Linked DNA regions of Arabidopsis thaliana. The protein of the gene in region 2 interacts with the protein of the main gene of each other region in a pairwise test. Each region holds a gene or a part of one and is shown on either strand. Other genes may lie near its edges. The genes, in order: AT2G28060, MYB49, COR27 and NAM.

Region 1 (4,640 bases), on a different chromosome or scaffold from region 2:
AGAACCCATTTTTTAATCAATTTTGTGCAAATAAGCTCCCATGCACAAACCAACTTTGTTTTTATATACTCCCTCTGTTACTGAATATTTGTAGTTTAAAGTTTTTGCACACAAATTAAGAAAACATACAAATTTTATTTAATTTATCTTTTTCCTATAAAAACATCATTAATTACAACTAATCCAACCAGTAAAAAAATATAATTAATTAAAAATTATTAAATACATTTAATGTTTGCATAGAAAAGTGAAAACAACACTTATATTAAAAAAAAATAAAAAACCTTAAAACTACACTTAATTAAAAACAACGAGAGTATAAGTGATCTACATTCAAACCGAACTAATGCAATGATCCGACGATCCAATCCAGTTTTAGACTAATGCATTGATCCGACGATCCAATCCAGTTTTAGAGCATTAGTTTGGTAACTTATCTCGGACATAGAAAGTTTTGATTAAGATTTTTTTTTTTTTTTTTCCTTTTTGGAGCTACGAAAGATTTAAATAATTTATGGTAACACTACATATGAGCAAGTAAAGAACTTCATTAGCGATATTTGGGCTCGTTTAACTAAACCCAATCTAAGGGAGTTATTACAAACAAACAATGCCCACGTCTATCAGCTTTTTTGGGCCTAAAAAATAAAAATGCATGGAGATTTTATATAAACTCCGAACAAGAAGATGATTTCAATCGAATGTACCTAGAAACCGTCTAAATCGAATCTGTAAGAGAAGAATAAAATTCAGTACGGACCAGATGGTTTTGTATACCAAATTCAATCCATAAAGAAGCAAATTCCCAACACTACTTAAAAAGAGGTATCATTATTCAAACATTGGCGCTCCCTCTTCTTTGGACAGGCTTGTATATCACCACAGTGACAAACTTAGTCCTGAACCGATGCGAGAAACCGAGTGCTACAACAGATCTTGGGGCGTCTCGGTTCTCGATATAGAGGTGGTTCAGGACAACATTCTGTGGCGCATAAGCCAGTTCCATGCTACCCTGATTGCCTAATAGAGAGTGTTGAAGGTGTGGCGGTACTGCTGGAGGATCTCTTGTCTCATCTTCGGTTGAGGAATACACATTGTTGTAACTTGAAACCGGTGATACAGGTACTTCAAATCCCACAACCGTTGTGTCCTCCTATGTTTAAGAAAACGATAAAAGATTGAAAAATCGAGCGGGAGACTGGAAATTACTCGATTAGTTGGTTGAAGGCAAAAAGGTGTTTTAGCTGGCTTACATGATCATCAGGATTTTGACTGTTCATCTTGGATAAGATTGCCACCTAGTGCCTGAAACAAAATATAATCATAACTAAACCGCAATAGCATGCAAAGTAAACAATCAAAATGAATGTAGGTCACACCAGCTCAAGTGCCATTCAAACTAATCTAAGAGAAAGAGGTGTTTACATTTCAACTCAAAAACACTGAAGCAGAAATGAAAACAATGTTGTTCTCTACAATGATGCAAACTCTTATTTGTGTGAAATGTAAGACTTTTGTCTAATCGGTATCAAAAGTCAAATAATTCATAATCCCGTAGACAAATCTAAGGATCCAAAGATGCAGACAGTCTTAAGAAAGTTGGACCAGAGAATCATATTTTCCCATGCCTTCTTCGAAGAAAGTACTAAGGTGGACAAAGGATTCAAAAATCAATGGACCACAGGAGTTAGAATAGAAACACATTGATCATTATCACAACAGAGACAAGTTGGAAGACATAAACTACATTGTTATTATCATGTACATCCAAATTCCACAGCTAATTCTTCTCTATGTACACTGAACAGATAATATATAGGATTTAACCATTTATTATATGAACTCTTTGCACAGTTTTATCTCATCTAAAGACCCTTTAAACCTATTACACACCATAGGAACCATATCTCAGCTAAAGACCCTTTAAACCTATAAGAAAACCGCATCATGCCTACATCGAAAATCTATCAAGCTTCAAGATTCCAAACACTTCCAAGACAGAACCATGAAGAATTTCCTTGCACGAGAAACTAATCCCCACGAAGTTATTCGGCTAACCAAATTCCATGTTCAGAATAAAATTTGTAAAGTCCTCCTATCAAGTGATGATGAAGAAACCAGGCACTTAAATGCTTAAAGAGAATCCAATATTTGAGGTCTAAATCCTATACACACAGAACAAAATTCCCACAAATCAACTGGAGATATCAATGAAAGAACTGTACTCACCCAATCTGATGAACACACATACACACTTATCAACCAAACTGGAACAACTTTAAAACACAACTACTAAGCTTAAAAATACATAACAATGAACACAATATCAGAAGCCAAACTGGAGTTAAAATTCTCACCTTTGGGAAGCTAAGCCCTTCAAATTACCCTTTCAAAAACGTAGCAGCAATGAAAGTCTACACAAATCCTTAAAACAAAAACCTGCAAAATCATCAGTAAATGACCCATCAAATGATAAATAACACCCACCTAATAGAAAACCCTAGAAATCACCGGAAAATCAAAATTGAGGAATCAGTCGCATAAAAAATGAAATTTTGAATCATGGGTATTCGATTTTACTTCGATATCAATGCAAATTTCGTATAAAATCAGACGGAAATTGGAAGAACGAAGGAGACGAAACGAAATTGAGAAAGGCAGAGAAAGAGAAAAAAAGAGAGGGTTTACTCTGTTTTTACTTAACCTAGAATATGATTAGCTCAATGATTGATTGATTAATTTTAGACAGCTTCGAGAGAGAAGATTGGGTTCGTCCTGGAGATTCTTGACGAACACAGTCGCGACAAGCATCAGCTTTTGTTTTGCTTATTGGCTTAAACTTTGCTGTCCTTCGAAAACATTTTCTTTCCTCAGAAAACATTTTTTTTCTTCTTATGGAAACTATTTTACTCATTAACTTTCTTTTTAGTTTCCAAAATAAATAATTGACAAATAAGGATGTGTGATTGGTGGTTTGCTTTTGTTCGACTCTAGTGTTCGCTAGACATGCTGTTTTTCCTCTGAATATGTGAAGATTTCTTTGATTCTATGCGATTCGATCTTTTACCTTTTTTCGTCTCTTAAGAATGGTGTTATCGAGACTAAATCTTCACTCCTTGTCTATGCTTCTCAGACTTGATCGAGGTCTGGTCCTTTCATGAAACTTCTATTTATTTGACATTTTTAAGACAAATATAGATTGATGTTCATTGAGCTTATTATATAAAGATAGAAATGCAATAGTTCTAGTGAGCTTTATTGAAATGTAAAGAAGAGAAAAATGTAAAGGAGCTTAAGGTTTGTCACCAAAAGCCAATGTTTCTAGATTTGATATTTCATAAGATGAAGGAAGAGAGTTCTCTCAAAGTTACAATCATAGTTCTCATTACATAATTGTTTATATGAATCTTCTAACTTGTTAAAATTCTACTTATGTAGACCTCACATTGGGTTTGGACTTGTTTTAGTTGTGGACTCTAATACTCCCCTGCAAACTTAGCAGCGAGTATGAAAACAATGATGATAAATTTGTTTTAGTTGATCGAAGAGCTTAATTTTCAGTCCATGATCCAATGAAGGCACATAATCTTAATGTTTATTGTTTCTTGTCGATTTATGACATCACCACATACGAAAGAAAGTTTGGGCAGTGGTTATCAGGTTATAAAGCTTAAAAATTCTGAAATCTGAAGGTTGTTGTTCATCTCAATAGGAGGACTTGTGTATCGTTGGTTGGTGGTGGGCATCCGCGATACTTTTCTTTCAAATAATCTTCAAGAACTATGCGACTTATAGTTTTGGTGGGATTTCAACTACTATTGCTTTTTTCCTCTTGCTTTGTAGTATTATTTATGACTTTTTTACTTAGGGCTTAAACTTCGAAAAAATCTCGTTTTCTTTCGGTTTAATGTTGTATTTTATCAAGTATTTCATCATGGTAACATTAAAATAACTCTAGATGACAAAAAAAAAACAAATTAAAGAGACTCCAACTTAATTTCCCTATTTTCTTAGTTTTTTTTTTCTGTTTTTTAGTTCTTCTTTGTATTTTTTTTTTTTTAAATTTCAATACATATGAGATTACTCTATGGTTTGGAAAACCGCATGGTACCTAAATCCTACAACAATGGATTCCTTTTCCTTAGGTATGTTTTCGTATATGTATTTATCAATCGAAGATTTGTATGGTTTAATGAAATATTTATCGTGTTTTTGTTATCCAAAAGAAAGCAAAATCCAATAGTCCCGAAAACCCATGCAACCGTGTACATAATAATATATATATTTAAAAATCCATGTCCAATCTCCAAACCATTTTAAAACAAGAGAAACAATAGTTTGAAAATATAGAAAATTGCGTGTGAGTGTGTCATAATTCATAAATGCAAAGACAAATGTTTGATCTTTGATTGTAATTTCTGAAACTCACGGACTTTCCTACCTCTTTCTGATCTTCCCGACCCCATCAACACTTTTTTGTATCTCTATCACACATATAAAATCGTATTTTGATTAATACCATTTTCCAGCCATTTTGCCTCTGTCCTCTCCTACTTACTCTTCTCTCTTATGTTTCCAGCCATCACTCACGAGCCCATTTATGAACTTTAACCCTAAACCAGTGTATATCTCCTCCCACT
Region 2 (4,016 bases):
TATATATTTTCTATTTTAATCTTTCATACACATTTTCTCATAGTGGATAACTATTTAAATCTTCCTTTTAGGTGTATTACTATTTATTTGTGCTGATTTCAAACCAATCATAAGGGAAAACAAGTCGATTATTTCTTTTTTCTTGTATTATGAAATTGAAAACTCCCCTTTATGAGTCTATGACCAATTAAATATAATCACTATTGTCTCCTGCTCCACCAAATGTGTTCTTAATCATCAAAATCAAGATGGTGCAAATAGAATAATAAAACTATAACACCAGAAAATTTTCGTACAAGTTGAAGACCTTTTAGGTATAACGAATGGAAAGTTCTTCGAATTGGAAAATAAGAACAATTAGTGGAAGAAAATGCACAAGAAATCCAAGATTAAGAATACACTTAACTCTTAAAATACTAAGTATGTACGTAACACACTTATCAACCATCTTATGACCTTTTGAGAGTCGACTAATGTAAAGTTCTTCGAAGCAGAAAAAACAATTAGTAGAAGAACAAAGTCAAGATAAAGGTACACTAGCTGTTATCCTCTTAGGTTTTATAACTTTTTTAAGTGTAAACAAATAGAAACCTTTTCGGATCAAAAAAAGTAGAACAAAAAAAAAAAAAAGAGTCAACATAATAATAGACTAAGCTCTTATATTACAAAGTATGTAACACAATTACAAACCCCCATTAAAAAAAAGTAAAAATAAAACAAATAAGATCAAGAAGCAAAATAAATAAGACATTATGATAGATTCAAAGCATTATTATTATGATCATGATGATGATGAAACATCAACATGTCGCTACCAAAACTCTCTCTATCATCTTCGCTTCCACCATTGACATAAAAAGTCGAAGACGAATTCAACGGTGTCGAGCTGCTCGATGAAGTTCCCGCTAGCATTGATGAACTGAAATTCCATCCGGCCTTAAAATTCTCACCATCATTAATGTGGTCGGATACAAATGCGGCTGATGAGTAGTTTCCGGCTTGAGGGACTTTGTTATTAGATGGATCACCTGTACCGGTATAACTGTGATAATCTCCCAAGTATTCTCCATTGTTTTGCCATTGAACGGGTGGTGTTGAGTTGAGCAAACCGGTGAAAGTGGTTTGGTCAGTGTTTAGGTCGTTTTGAAGCTGTTGGTTTGGTTGGTATGATTCGGTCTGAACGTTGTTGAGAGAGGCAGTGAGATGATTCAAGATATCAGGATTAATATTTGAAGTAGTGAGATCAAATGGAGTATTCATCGGTTGTGACATAGATTTAAACAATGATGAGGTAAGAAACGAAGAGAGCTGGAGAAGATTAATGCGGGGACAATGAGTCACCGGATCAATCCCCATTCGTAAGAGTTTCTTTTTAATATGTGTGTTCCAATAGTTTTTGATTTCATTATCTGTTCTTCCTGGTAAGTGAATAGCAATTGCGGACCATCTATAGAAGAAAAAATATCGTGTTATAGATTTTAAGTTAAAATCAAAAAGAGAAGTATAAGTTTTAACTTGTTAAGATATTAGCTGCAGCGAGTTGAAGATTGCATGCTTAGCTTTAGACATTTGACCTTGGTATAGTGCTTAACTATGTTCTTGTCTTTTAGTTGAATAAAATAAAATATGCAAGTAATATTATAACAAAAATGTAAAGACATGGAAGTCCAATGAAGTAGGTGTAGTAGTGGAAAACTAGGTCATTTTTTACTTAATTTAATCATACATGTAAACAATTATACACTAAATGAAGAAATGAAAAATTGCAGATAGACTAACTTGTTTCCAAGAAGACGATGAAGTTGAATGATGGTTTCTTCCTCTTGAAGAGAGAACTCTCCTCTCTTGATATCGGGTCTTAGATAATTCGTCCATCGCAATCTACAACTCTTCCCGCATCTTTTTAACCCTTTTAAGATTCACACCAAGAAAAACGAATAAGAACCATGATTGTTTTAATTTTAATTCTAACGTTGACATGATCTAGCATGATAATCATTATTAGTAAATTTTAAACATAAACGTAAAACAAAACGCAGGAAAACATATTGTAGCTGATAGGATTTAGCTATTTGTATATATACATGCGTTAGGGTAGGAATTTACCGGCGTTCTTGGGAAGGGTACGCCATTTGCCGGGACCGTGCGTTTGAATATAGCCTACGAGCTTCTCGTCTTCCTCCGGAGTCCATGGCCCTTTCTTCACTTCACTTTCCTCCGAGCTTGAAGATTTTCCCATCTTTTTCAAATGTTATATGTGAGAGAACTAGAGAGAGAAGCTAATAAGCTTTGAGAACTTGATTACAGAGAAAATTTGGTTTCTTCATGAATTATGATTTATGTATATACAAATATATATATGGTACATGCAAAGTCAAGTCAAGGAGATTTGGTACCGCCCTTCCATCATCTATCTAAATACGTGTCTTTTCTTGATGAAATACGGAGACAAAATGAAGTAGAAAAAAACTGCTTATTATGTTGACAAAACAAAAGAGTAATTTTTACTCTCTATCTTTAAAGTCCTTACTAACAAACAAAAAGCTCTGACCAAAGAAAAAAAGTAATAAACAAAAAGCATGAGACTAAACCATCTCTATTAACCCTAAAAATAATTAATATTGATGGAGTGAGAACACATGGCAGAATATGGGTGGTGTATGAGGACGTGTGATAGATATGTGAAGAAGGTTCCATTTGTTTTGGTCTCTTTGTCTCAAATCATCAAACAGTTTTCAAGATAGCTATGTTGCGTGTATGTTTAATGTTTACTCATCTGTCATCACTATAGCAATATCATATACATAAATAGACAGATTCAAAATAAGAATTTTATTGAATAAGGTGTGGTTACAGTGATTATACTGAATAAATATGCTTATTTAGCCTTCTAAGTTTTGTATACAAATAATTTCTCTTCTAAGGAGAAAATAAAAAGGAAATATGTAAAGAATGATTACGATAGTGTAAAAAAGTAAAAACAATAAAAATCCAAACGGATCTCCAGTGTGCTTCATCGGTTGGAAATAGATATATATCATCGTGTCATCAAATTTCAGTAGCAAAGCTAGATTGTCCTGCTTGAATTAAGACATCCGATCGAAGTGACTCAGTTTGAGTAACGTCCTGCATCGCACCAGAGTTTCTGTTTACTTCAATAACAATTACATAACGACAAGTTTGAATAACTGATAATCTAAGACATGTATTTTGTTTTTACTAAGTTAGGTAAATTAACGACAAAGCGTTGTTGCAGTGCAACATACGTAAAGAACAAGGCATGTTAACGGTCAAAATACATGTGTGATTAATGAAACAATACTATATAATATACATGTGTCATTGAATTGCAGAGACTTTGGTCTCAGTCCGAAACATGGTTGATTTGACAAGTCAGGGATTTGAAATTTTTTGATTTGATATTTGTAAGAAATTATTACTATTTTAGTTAAATTTGGTTAGTATAAGTTTTAGATTATTTGGAAAACAAGTTATCGGCCGGTTTAAGAGTGATTATATAGAAAGGTTTGGTATTAGAGAAGAATGATAAAGTGACTTTTTAAATTAGGAGAATGACCAATTTATCATTGTTTAGTGCATAGGCGTATTTGACAAGTAACCCCTTGCTCTTGTTACATGTTAAATATTATTGTGTCATATAAAGAGGTAAAATTAATTCTACACTTTATGCGGTATAGCCGTATAAAACATGTTAGGTTGATAATAAACAAGTTATCATAACGTTTTCAACAAGTGCCAAAAATATAAACTTACACTAACACTAAACCGTATATATCGTTTTTTTTAATATAATATTATTTCTATAACATCGATATATCTAGTAAATAGTTATTTTGCGTCCATATAATTCATATTTTTCGTTATATAACAATGAAATGAGTGTTTTTCCACGGTATAGAATATTTTACATGTAAACTTTAAATCATATCATTGTCTCACAGGGAATTGATTCATGAAGGTAAATTTTGTGATGCATGTTTTAAAAATAAAAGACT
Region 3 (4,689 bases), 4.8 Mb from region 2:
TTGGTGTGGTGGCTTTTCTCTAAATATAGGCCGATGCTCAGCTCAACATGCAGAGCTATGGGGAGTGTATTACGGATTGTATTTCGCATGGGAGAAGAAGGTGCCTCGAGTGGAGTTGGAGGTGGATTCAGAGGCGATAGTGGGTTTCCTCAAAACAGGGATTAGTGACTCTCATCCGCTGTCATTCCTGGTGCGGTTGTGCCACAACTTTCTACAGAAAGACTGGTTGGTCCGAATTGTTTACGTGTATAGAGAAGCTAATTGTCTTGCGGACGGATTAGCAAACTATACAATTTTGTTATCTTTAGGCTTTCATTCTTTTGATTTTGTTCCCGATGCGATGTCATCTTTGTTGAAGGAGGATACTCTTGGGTCTACTCAACTAAGGCGAGTTCGTTTGTAACTTTTCTTTAGTTTCTTAATAAATCACGGGAGGCAATTGTCTCCCGGTCACTTACCAAAAAAAGACTGGACATAATTTTATAAAAAAAATATCGAACAAAAAATTAATAATAAATATATACAATTTTTAAAATATTATAAAATAAAAATTTATTTAAGAAGAGTTAAGATAAAGATACGCATTCTTAAAATACTTAATTGTAATTTGTACACAACCATCTATAACGAAGAGTTGTGATAGGAAAATTAGAGCAAAAGTAAAACTTAAGGAGAAAAACAAAACCTTAACTGAAAATGTATAGATAAAAATTTATAAAAAAGAAATACAATTTTCTAAAATTTAAATTATTTCATATAATTAAAAGTCTTAAATAAATATTTTGCAAAGAGTTACAACAATCAATAAGCACTACGATAGAAGACATATTTACAATTTATTAATTTGTATATTCACATAATTACTCACCCTTCTCTTACAAGGTAGAGTAAATTATTTTTATTCAAACTCATCATTGGTGTAACCTTTCTTGAAAAGATGTATATCTATCTTAAACTAAAATTGAAGGAGTTTTCCTGTTTCTTAAGATTACTGAGTATTTAAGTATTTTTTATTATTTGGATAAGTTAAAATGGTTAAATGGGTAATTTATAATTCATAGAATCTTACATGGTAGAGTATATTGATCCAAACTGATCATTTGTATAACCTTTCTTGAAAATCATAGATCTATCTTAAAACTAAACTGTAAGCTTTTTTTTTACTTTTCAATTCCCTAAGATTATGTCTCCACTTTAATATTTTACCATTTCTCTTAAACAGAAAAATTGAATATACCTATTTATAAGTATTCAAAATTTATTTTTAGGTAGAATTTAGCGCAAAAGTTTATTAAACTTTACGTTTACAATCTCATTATTTAATATTCACGTGAATGAATATTTTGACATGGTAAATATAATATAACACTATAAATAATATATTTACATATGATGAAAAGAAGAATAATTTGATAAATTAGAAATTCACATAATACATGAAATAATCACATATTAATTCCACCCTAACTAGCTAAATGATAAAAATAAAATCATATAAATCAGTTCATAAAACAAAAAATGTCTCGGGAAAAAAAAAACACTCTTCCAAAAGAGACATGTAATAGTCAATTTATTTCTATTTTCATAATCATCGTTAATCCTCATTGCATGTGGTACAATTATTCTAATAAGAAAAGTGAATCGTCCCAATAAATAATCCTAAAATGCCGTCTTAAAAAAGGCAATCTATAAAATTATTTATAAATATCTAAGAATGAGTTGTCTACTTTCCATTGATTAAAAAGAGAAAATATCATAAACAAAAAAAAAAAGTCAGAGAAGTTAAACCAAAAGCAACAAAAAAGAAAAAAAGAAAGAATAATCAAGAGAGAGGAGAAGAGGACGGTGGAAGATATTTTGCAGTTGAAGAAAATATCTTTGATATTTTTTGTGTTTGAAATATCTAAAACCAAAAAGTTTCATCTCTTCATTCCGCCAAATTGACTGGTGATGACGTGGCAACTTTACCCACGTGTAAAAGCGTCTACAACTGTATCGTTTCTTTTGATATTTTGTTTCTCTCTTTCTCTCTGATATTTTTCATTTTCTTCTTCTTCTCTCTCTCTCTCCACAAAGATAAGCCAACAATGGTTGGTGATTACAGAGGACGCTTTAGTAGCCGTCGTTTCTCCGATGACTCTGACGATTCTTCCGACGATGCTTCTTCCGTGGAGGGAGAGACCACTTCTTCCATGGTATTTATACATATTCCATGTTTTCTTTCTTTTTCATTGATATTTTTGCATGTCTGTTTTTCCTCGCCGGAATCGGAATCTCCGTCGTGTTCGCTGCTCAGATCTGAATTTTTACGGCGATTTAACGTTTTTGATGGAATTAGTGCGTTTATTGTTGATTATTGTGAAGTAAACGAAAGAGTTTATTTACACTAATGAACATAAATTGTTCGATATTTGTCTTGTTGATGAATTTGGTTGCTTCTTTGCGATTGAAGAGATAATTAGATGTTTATAGATTTGATATCTACATAAGGATTCTGAGCTGTGTAATGACAACTTTGTAACAAAATCATTTTTGTGAACTTTGGTGTAGTACTCTGCGGGGAAAGAGTATATGGAAACAGAATGGACTAATGAGAAGCATAGTTTATATCTTAAATCTATGGAAGCTTCATTCGTAGATCAGTTATATAACTCGCTCGGAGCTCTCGGGAAGAACGAGAATGTATCCGAATCAACGAGGTTCGGTAGCGGTAGAAAACCGTCTCAAGAACAGGTATGACACTTTTTTTTTAATAGATGATGATGATGTTATAGTGTTAAGAAGATTTTGGGATCATTGAAATGTATGTTTATGGTATCAGTTCAAGGTTCTTCATGATGGTTTCTGGCAGAAGATTAATGTGAAACAACCTGAACATCGGATTAACGGAAGGCACGGTGGTAATTCTCATGAGTTTCTTAGGAGTCCATGGATTAAGCATTATAAACCTTTAGTAAAGACACAAATCCCGGTAACGGATGAGCCCGAAAATCAAGTTGTTAGCAGCTCTAATGGGAAGAAGGGAATATGCAGCTCTGGCTCAGCCTCTAGTCTCAAGCAGCTAAGCTCTCATTCGCGTGACCACGACCAAATCAGCGTTGGAGAAGGTATTAGTTTATCAAAAATGTGTTTCTTTCCTCTGTTTAGATATGTTGTTTCTATTCTAAATTTGTCTTGTGATGTTTTAAAGCAGAGGTATCGGATCAGAACTTTGTTAACGAAGGAATAAAAGGCGAAAACGGAAGCTCGAAGAAGATGAAGACGGTGATGATGAGTGAATCGTCGAGTACCGATCAGGTAACTTCTTCCTCCACTATTAGTTTGATCATATTAGTGAATGTGGTGAGTTATTGATCCAAAATGTTTCCTTGGCATAGGTTGTTCCACTCAATAAACTCTTGCAACATGACGTAAATTTGAAGTCTGTTTCTTGAGAGGTCAGATGGTGAAGCTTTATATGAGGAGAGAATTTTGTAATGTATATATATTTGCATAACTTATAAGTCAAATTTACTATCCTTAGTTACAAGTTTCTTCATCATATATCCCTAACTATAAATATATTTATATGCTCATGTGAGTGGATTCATTTGTACTGTAAAACCCTTAGAAAGACGTCAAATTAGTATTTGATGGTTTAGTGTTGTCTTGTTACCACTATAGTATAAAATTTCAAGTTCCTTAATTTTCTTTTATGTTGCCCATACAATAAAAATGGTGGTCGAATAAAGGTAAAAGATAATAAAAAATAATTGAGCCGGTTATTATACAAACGGTGTTGTTTGGATAAAGCTAATTGGCTAAGGGTTGTGTATGTGTTGGAATCAAACCTTGATTAATTTCGAAGAAGAATCTAGGAATGAGAAAAGAAAGTGAAGAGGATCAAAAAAAAAAAAAAAAAAAAAAAGAGAAGAAGAGAAGAAGAAGGTGTCTCAGAAGAGTCGATCGCGAGAGTGAGGGAGAAGAGTGCTTTGGGCCATTAAGTTGAATCAGCCCACTATGTTAGTGGGTTGACTTTGATGATAAAGTTATATTTTTTTCTTATTATTATACAAAGTTGGGTTTGTTATATTTAACACCAAAAATAGAAAACATTTTTTAACCATATCGGAAAAATAAAATATATAGGTTGTTTATATATTCAAATTTTTATTTTAATATAGTAAACTATTAAAGTAATTTTACCAAAAAAGTTAATATATTCAAAACATAAGTAAAAATTTGGTTTCGAATGTATAAAATTGAAATTTGATTTTTTAAAATATATAGATTATTATTTAGAATCTAAGTATCAGAAAAAGAAAATTTATTTATTTTTCACACCTCCTATTTATCGGACATTAACTAGTCAATTTAATAATCGTTCATAGATTTTGTGTTACGACATATTTAAAAGATTTATGAAAACAATTTTAAGTTCTGAACATTGCAAGGCTAAATTAAGTATGGACTCAATGTTTCAAATTGTTATTCATCAGATTTAAAGAATGAGTAAATTTTGAATACAAATATGACTCTTTTATTAATGTATCATCATGTTTTTTTTTTTTTTTGAGTATAACATGTAAAGTAAGCTAAAAGTTTAAAAAATAAATTAAAAAGAAAAAAACAAATATTTTTAAAATATATTAAAGCTCTATTTTGGTGTCGGAGGAGTTGCACCAGCAATTCTTGAACATTGTTCCTTTA
Region 4 (4,359 bases), on a different chromosome or scaffold from region 2:
AAGAAGAACATATATATTAGAGAGACACTAAATTTTGGAAACTAGTAATTAAATTGTGTTATGAACTCACCAACATGTGCATAGAGGATCGGCTAACACATCGCTGACAGTAGCATTCTGCCTTTCGAGTTGATTAGCTTGAACTTCATTACTTGCCATGGGAATAGCTTCTCTTTTCTTGGAAATCAAATTTGGTTAAGGATGGTATAAATATAATATAAAGAGATGGATATGTATGCCTTTTTTTGTTTAATATAAACGTAATATTGTGTTTTTTATTATTCTACTCAGCATCAAATTTGTATTTATCATTATGAAAAGAAAAGAAAAAAAAAATGATTAAAGATGTCCATTACATGTATTCGATTCGAATTTAATTATGAACATCATATTTATTTTTTGAACATTGTTTTTACAACAAGTGCAACATTTGTTTGATCTAACAAAAAGATTAAAACTTTTCAGTTTAAAACTATTGATTCAAACCAGATTTGAAGGCCCTTTGTCGTATCTTTTATCTCCACTTATTTTGATTGCCAAGATTTGGTTCCGAACATGTTTTCGACAAAGTCAAATAAAAGCTCCGCCAGATAGTTTCATTATCGTCTGTTTCTTATAAGTTAGGGTCTTCTACCAAATAGTATTTCTGATGTCACTTTAAAATCATGTTTTTAAAAAATAAAATTTGCAGCAAAACATGCGAATGTTGAAGCTGATAGTACTGAAAATAAATAGCTGAAGAAAAGCACAAGGGTAATCTAGTTTCTATAACTGTTAATATATTTTTATATATATGCATGCATTAATTTATACAAGCTACAAACATCTAAGTATAATCATCACCTATACATTAGTAAAAATAATAACATGAAAAAGAAAAGAAAAGAATATTTAAACTATTGTTGTATAATTTCTATATGTTACCTTATACCTCTCCTCCAATCTATTTAATTTAATCTCCTTAGTTCTATAACACTACAATAATAATCAACCGTAAATAAATCCCCCAATGCCCCCTAATCACTCAAACCGTATATATATACACAAATTTTAAAAATTCTTCATCGTAAATTGTTTTCAAGAATACCAATTCAAACCAGGCAATTGGTAAATCCCACCTTGGTTCTGCATTAACGGCGTCGCCGCCATAGAAGTCGAACAATCTCCAACGCCGCCGCCGTTAAATCTCTTGCTAGGTGACGACGACGATCCAATACCGGAATCTTGATTTAGACTAGTCATCATCATCACCGGTGGAAACAACTGCTCCTGCTTTGATCCAGATGCGAAACAATGATTCATCGAGTAACTTCCACCTCCGTATCCGCCGCCGCCACCATCATATATAGCCGTCGGATCATTATTGTCAGAAAAAATCGCCGGGAAGTGAAGACCAGGAGGAACATGACGGAATCGATCATCATCAATCATCATATCATGACGATGATGATCATTATCTAGATGAATATGATGAAGATGATGATGATGTCTAGATGCTGTACTATTGTTTTTCTTGTAGATACGACACAACACCCAATCATCAAGCTACATAGTAATAAAAAGAATCAAAAATTAGCCAATCAAAACTTTTCTTTTAAAATCAAGATTTTAAGAATATTATAATAATATACCCTGAGAGAGTTTTTCTTGTTGCCGAAGTCACAAATATGAGTAGGTTTATTATCAGTTAACCGATATTCATGCATAATCCAATCTGATTTAACTCCTTTTGGTGGTTTACCACTGTAAAACACTAGAGCCTTTTTAACTCCCACTTTTTTACTACCACCACCGCCGGTTGAAATCACCGGTTTATCTGTACCAGTCGCTTTCCAATAACCGGAAGTCGCAGCTCGGTTAGGTCTAGCTCCGTTGGGATATTTCCGATCTCTTGGACTGAAAAAATACCATTCTTGTTCTCCAAACGAAGCTTTCGCTGTCACAATCAAGAACACAAAAAAAAACAAAAATCAGTAAAAAAAAAAATGAAACAGATCTGATCGGATTATGATCTTGGTCTTGTTTCAACTTACCGGGAAGTTCCCATGGATCAAATTTGTAAAGATCAACGTCGGCGATGATCGCGACTGGTAAAGGAACAGAATCTGCTTTGCGTTTGAGGTAATGAATTACAAGTTCTTCGTCTGTTGGATGAAACCGGAATCCTGGAGGGAGGTTTGGTTGCGGCGGCGGAGGACCACCGGAAGAATCTGTACTCTCCATTAAAATGATGATCGGAGAATATTTTTTATGGTTTGAGAGAGTTTTAGAGAGTCGGCGTTAGTAATCTTTCTTTTTAAAAATGGAAGGCATTAAAACGACAAATCAAAATGGCTTTTATCCTCTGGAATCTTTTGTACGTAGACCATCGTATCCACTCGTATTTATTTACAATTTTTGAGAATTTTTTTTGTATTAAAACCATAAATGTCTATGAGATTTTTTTGTTACACATCAAATGGTATTTCTATTTATATTTGTGGAATATGGACGATCAAAACGTATTAATTACCGTAGCTATCTAAATCAATAGTTTGTGTTACAGTTTAACCTATTGTAGAGATCTAATATATTTAATATGTATAGCTGTACGCTATGTAGTTATATATGTAGATTAGCAACAGGAAAAAGGAATAAAATGTCATACCAAAAAAAAAACGTTTTGACCCATATGTGTAGGAAGGTGTAGGTAAAGAGATTTCTATCATTGATTTCAAATTAAAATAGATGATGCTATCTTATCTTCGTGAATCATGAGAGAGTACATTTAATTTGCTTTGTTGATCCTTTTCACTAATTAATTTGATCTATATGTACTTAGCTAGAATTAAATCGTAGTTTATCTTTCATCTTCTGTAGATTTCAATTCATAAGATGATAAAACCATTTGTTTTTTGTAAAGTTTGTTTGACCTACAAAATACTGTTAATCTCAGATTAGTGTTTGTAATTAACAATTGTACCCCAAAAAATAATATTTTATTATTTTAGACCCGGAATATTAGAATTTGTTGGCAATCAATAATAATACATAATCTCCCATAATTCAGCCGAGTTTAGTGTGGTTTGGTTTGTACTAAAAGGAGATAAAGAGTGGCGACAATTCGACACATATACAAAGTCTGACTAATCATGTCGAATCTTTTTAAATTACGATACTAACCAAGGCAAAGGAGGGTAAAATAGTGATTTCGGAGTCGATAATGACTTTCTTAACCTCTTTAACCATGCATTATCGTCTGTGTTCATATAGGCTCAAAGTGTGGCTTGACACGAGCGACCATTAACAACGATAGCGATTGTTTTCATCCAATAAGCATATATATATTTTTGTCTCTATAGTAAGTTATAATAAAAAAATTAAAAAAAATTATAATAACAAAAATCATATAAGAAAAGTGCACGGCACTATTAATTTAGTTTTTTTATCTATAAAATATTTTTAAAATAATATATACTTTAATAAATTTACATGGAACTTGCAAGGTTTCAACCAACCGATTTATTATTGTTTTACGTGGTAGTTTTTTTCATCATCCCTAAACTTAAGTGGTATACTATATAGTTTTACCTTTTAACGGTTAAACAAATACTTTAAAATAGAATAATTTAAAATTTAATGAAAACAGAATATAAATTAAAATATTTTTTACCAATGCAAAAACTTCTACGTATCACTTTTTTTTTTTGATTATCATGTGTGGACAAATAACTGAAGGTGCATGCTTCCAATAGTACCGTGTTATTCTGAGTACATTACGTCGACACGTGGCAAGCTGTAAAATGGGACCCGCTTAAGTGCCACACAAGGCAACAAAGTGAAAATTCAAAAAAGCTTTTTTACGTTTCAAATGTCATATCACGCTTTTGTATTCCCTTTGTATTTTGTGACCATTGGAATTTTATAAAGAAATTCATCAATTAACAAAAAATTAATTAATTATCTTGATAATTAATATATAACAATATATTATTTAATATATCTATTTTTGGTTATGAGTTACATAACAATATAAGCAAGAATTACCAACTGTTTGAGTAATGCGAAATTTTATTATTTTCACACTCTAATTTTTATTATTTCTTAAACCTTTAATCGTTGGTTTATATATATATATCAGACCTGATGCGTTTTTCTCACAAACTAATTTTCTATACAAATAGATAAAGAGATAATGAAAGGATTATTTGAGGGTGGCAATGAACGGATCTTATGAACTTTTTTTCGTCACTAAAAAGTAAAAAAAACTAAACTTTGACTTAGTGCAAATAAAGTAGATATTTATGCAAACGATAAATACGAGTTTTCTATCGAAAACTAGAACGATCAGCAAATATTGTCCACCGTCAGCTTGCCAGC

What was found.
Region 1: the proteins of MYB49 (region 2) and AT2G28060 interact in a two-hybrid assay, tested with the Arabidopsis thaliana proteins (one large-scale study listed by BioGRID).
Region 3: the proteins of MYB49 (region 2) and COR27 interact in a two-hybrid assay, tested with the Arabidopsis thaliana proteins (one large-scale study listed by BioGRID).
Region 4: the proteins of MYB49 (region 2) and NAM interact in a two-hybrid assay, tested with the Arabidopsis thaliana proteins (one large-scale study listed by BioGRID).

What each region holds. Positions count from the first base shown.
Region 1 is NC_003071.7:11,949,339-11,953,978, forward strand, and holds AT2G28060 (5'-AMP-activated protein kinase beta-2 subunit protein), read right to left. Parts: upstream 2,916-4,640; 5' UTR 2,705-2,915; exon of another isoform or gene 2,440-2,704; 5' UTR 2,358-2,439; intron 1,306-2,357; 5' UTR 1,281-1,305; coding exon 1,254-1,280; intron 1,154-1,253; coding exon 836-1,153; 3' UTR 533-835; downstream 1-532. UniProt on the Arabidopsis thaliana protein: Regulatory subunit of the probable trimeric SNF1-related protein kinase (SnRK) complex, which may play a role in a signal transduction cascade regulating gene expression and carbohydrate metabolism in higher plants.
Region 2 is NC_003076.8:22,015,607-22,019,622, forward strand, and holds MYB49 (myb domain protein 49), read right to left. Parts: upstream 2,456-4,016; 5' UTR 2,240-2,455; coding exon 2,107-2,239; intron 1,910-2,106; coding exon 1,780-1,909; intron 1,448-1,779; coding exon 751-1,447; 3' UTR 537-750; downstream 1-536.
Region 3 is NC_003076.8:17,197,111-17,201,799, reverse strand, and holds COR27 (cold regulated protein 27), read left to right. Parts: upstream 1-2,006; 5' UTR 2,007-2,087; coding exon 2,088-2,195; intron 2,196-2,550; coding exon 2,551-2,733; intron 2,734-2,821; coding exon 2,822-3,107; intron 3,108-3,190; coding exon 3,191-3,297; intron 3,298-3,377; coding exon 3,378-3,434; 3' UTR 3,435-3,635; exon of another isoform or gene 3,636-3,881; intron 3,882-4,128; 3' UTR 4,129-4,159; downstream 4,160-4,689. Other genes in the region: AT5G42905 (Polynucleotidyl transferase, ribonuclease H-like superfamily protein), read left to right, coding at 1-225, 359-386; AT5G42895 (ECA1 gametogenesis related family protein), read right to left, coding at 4,637-4,689. UniProt on the Arabidopsis thaliana protein: Together with COR28, involved in central circadian clock regulation and in flowering promotion, by binding to the chromatin of clock-associated evening genes TOC1, PRR5, ELF4 and cold-responsive genes in order to repress their transcription.
Region 4 is NC_003070.9:19,688,208-19,692,566, forward strand, and holds NAM (NAC (No Apical Meristem) domain transcriptional regulator superfamily protein), read right to left. Parts: upstream 2,383-4,359; 5' UTR 2,224-2,382; coding exon 2,034-2,223; intron 1,937-2,033; coding exon 1,632-1,936; intron 1,546-1,631; coding exon 1,078-1,545; 3' UTR 501-1,077; downstream 1-500. UniProt on the Arabidopsis thaliana protein: May encode a transcription factor involved in the elaboration of shoot apical meristems (SAM).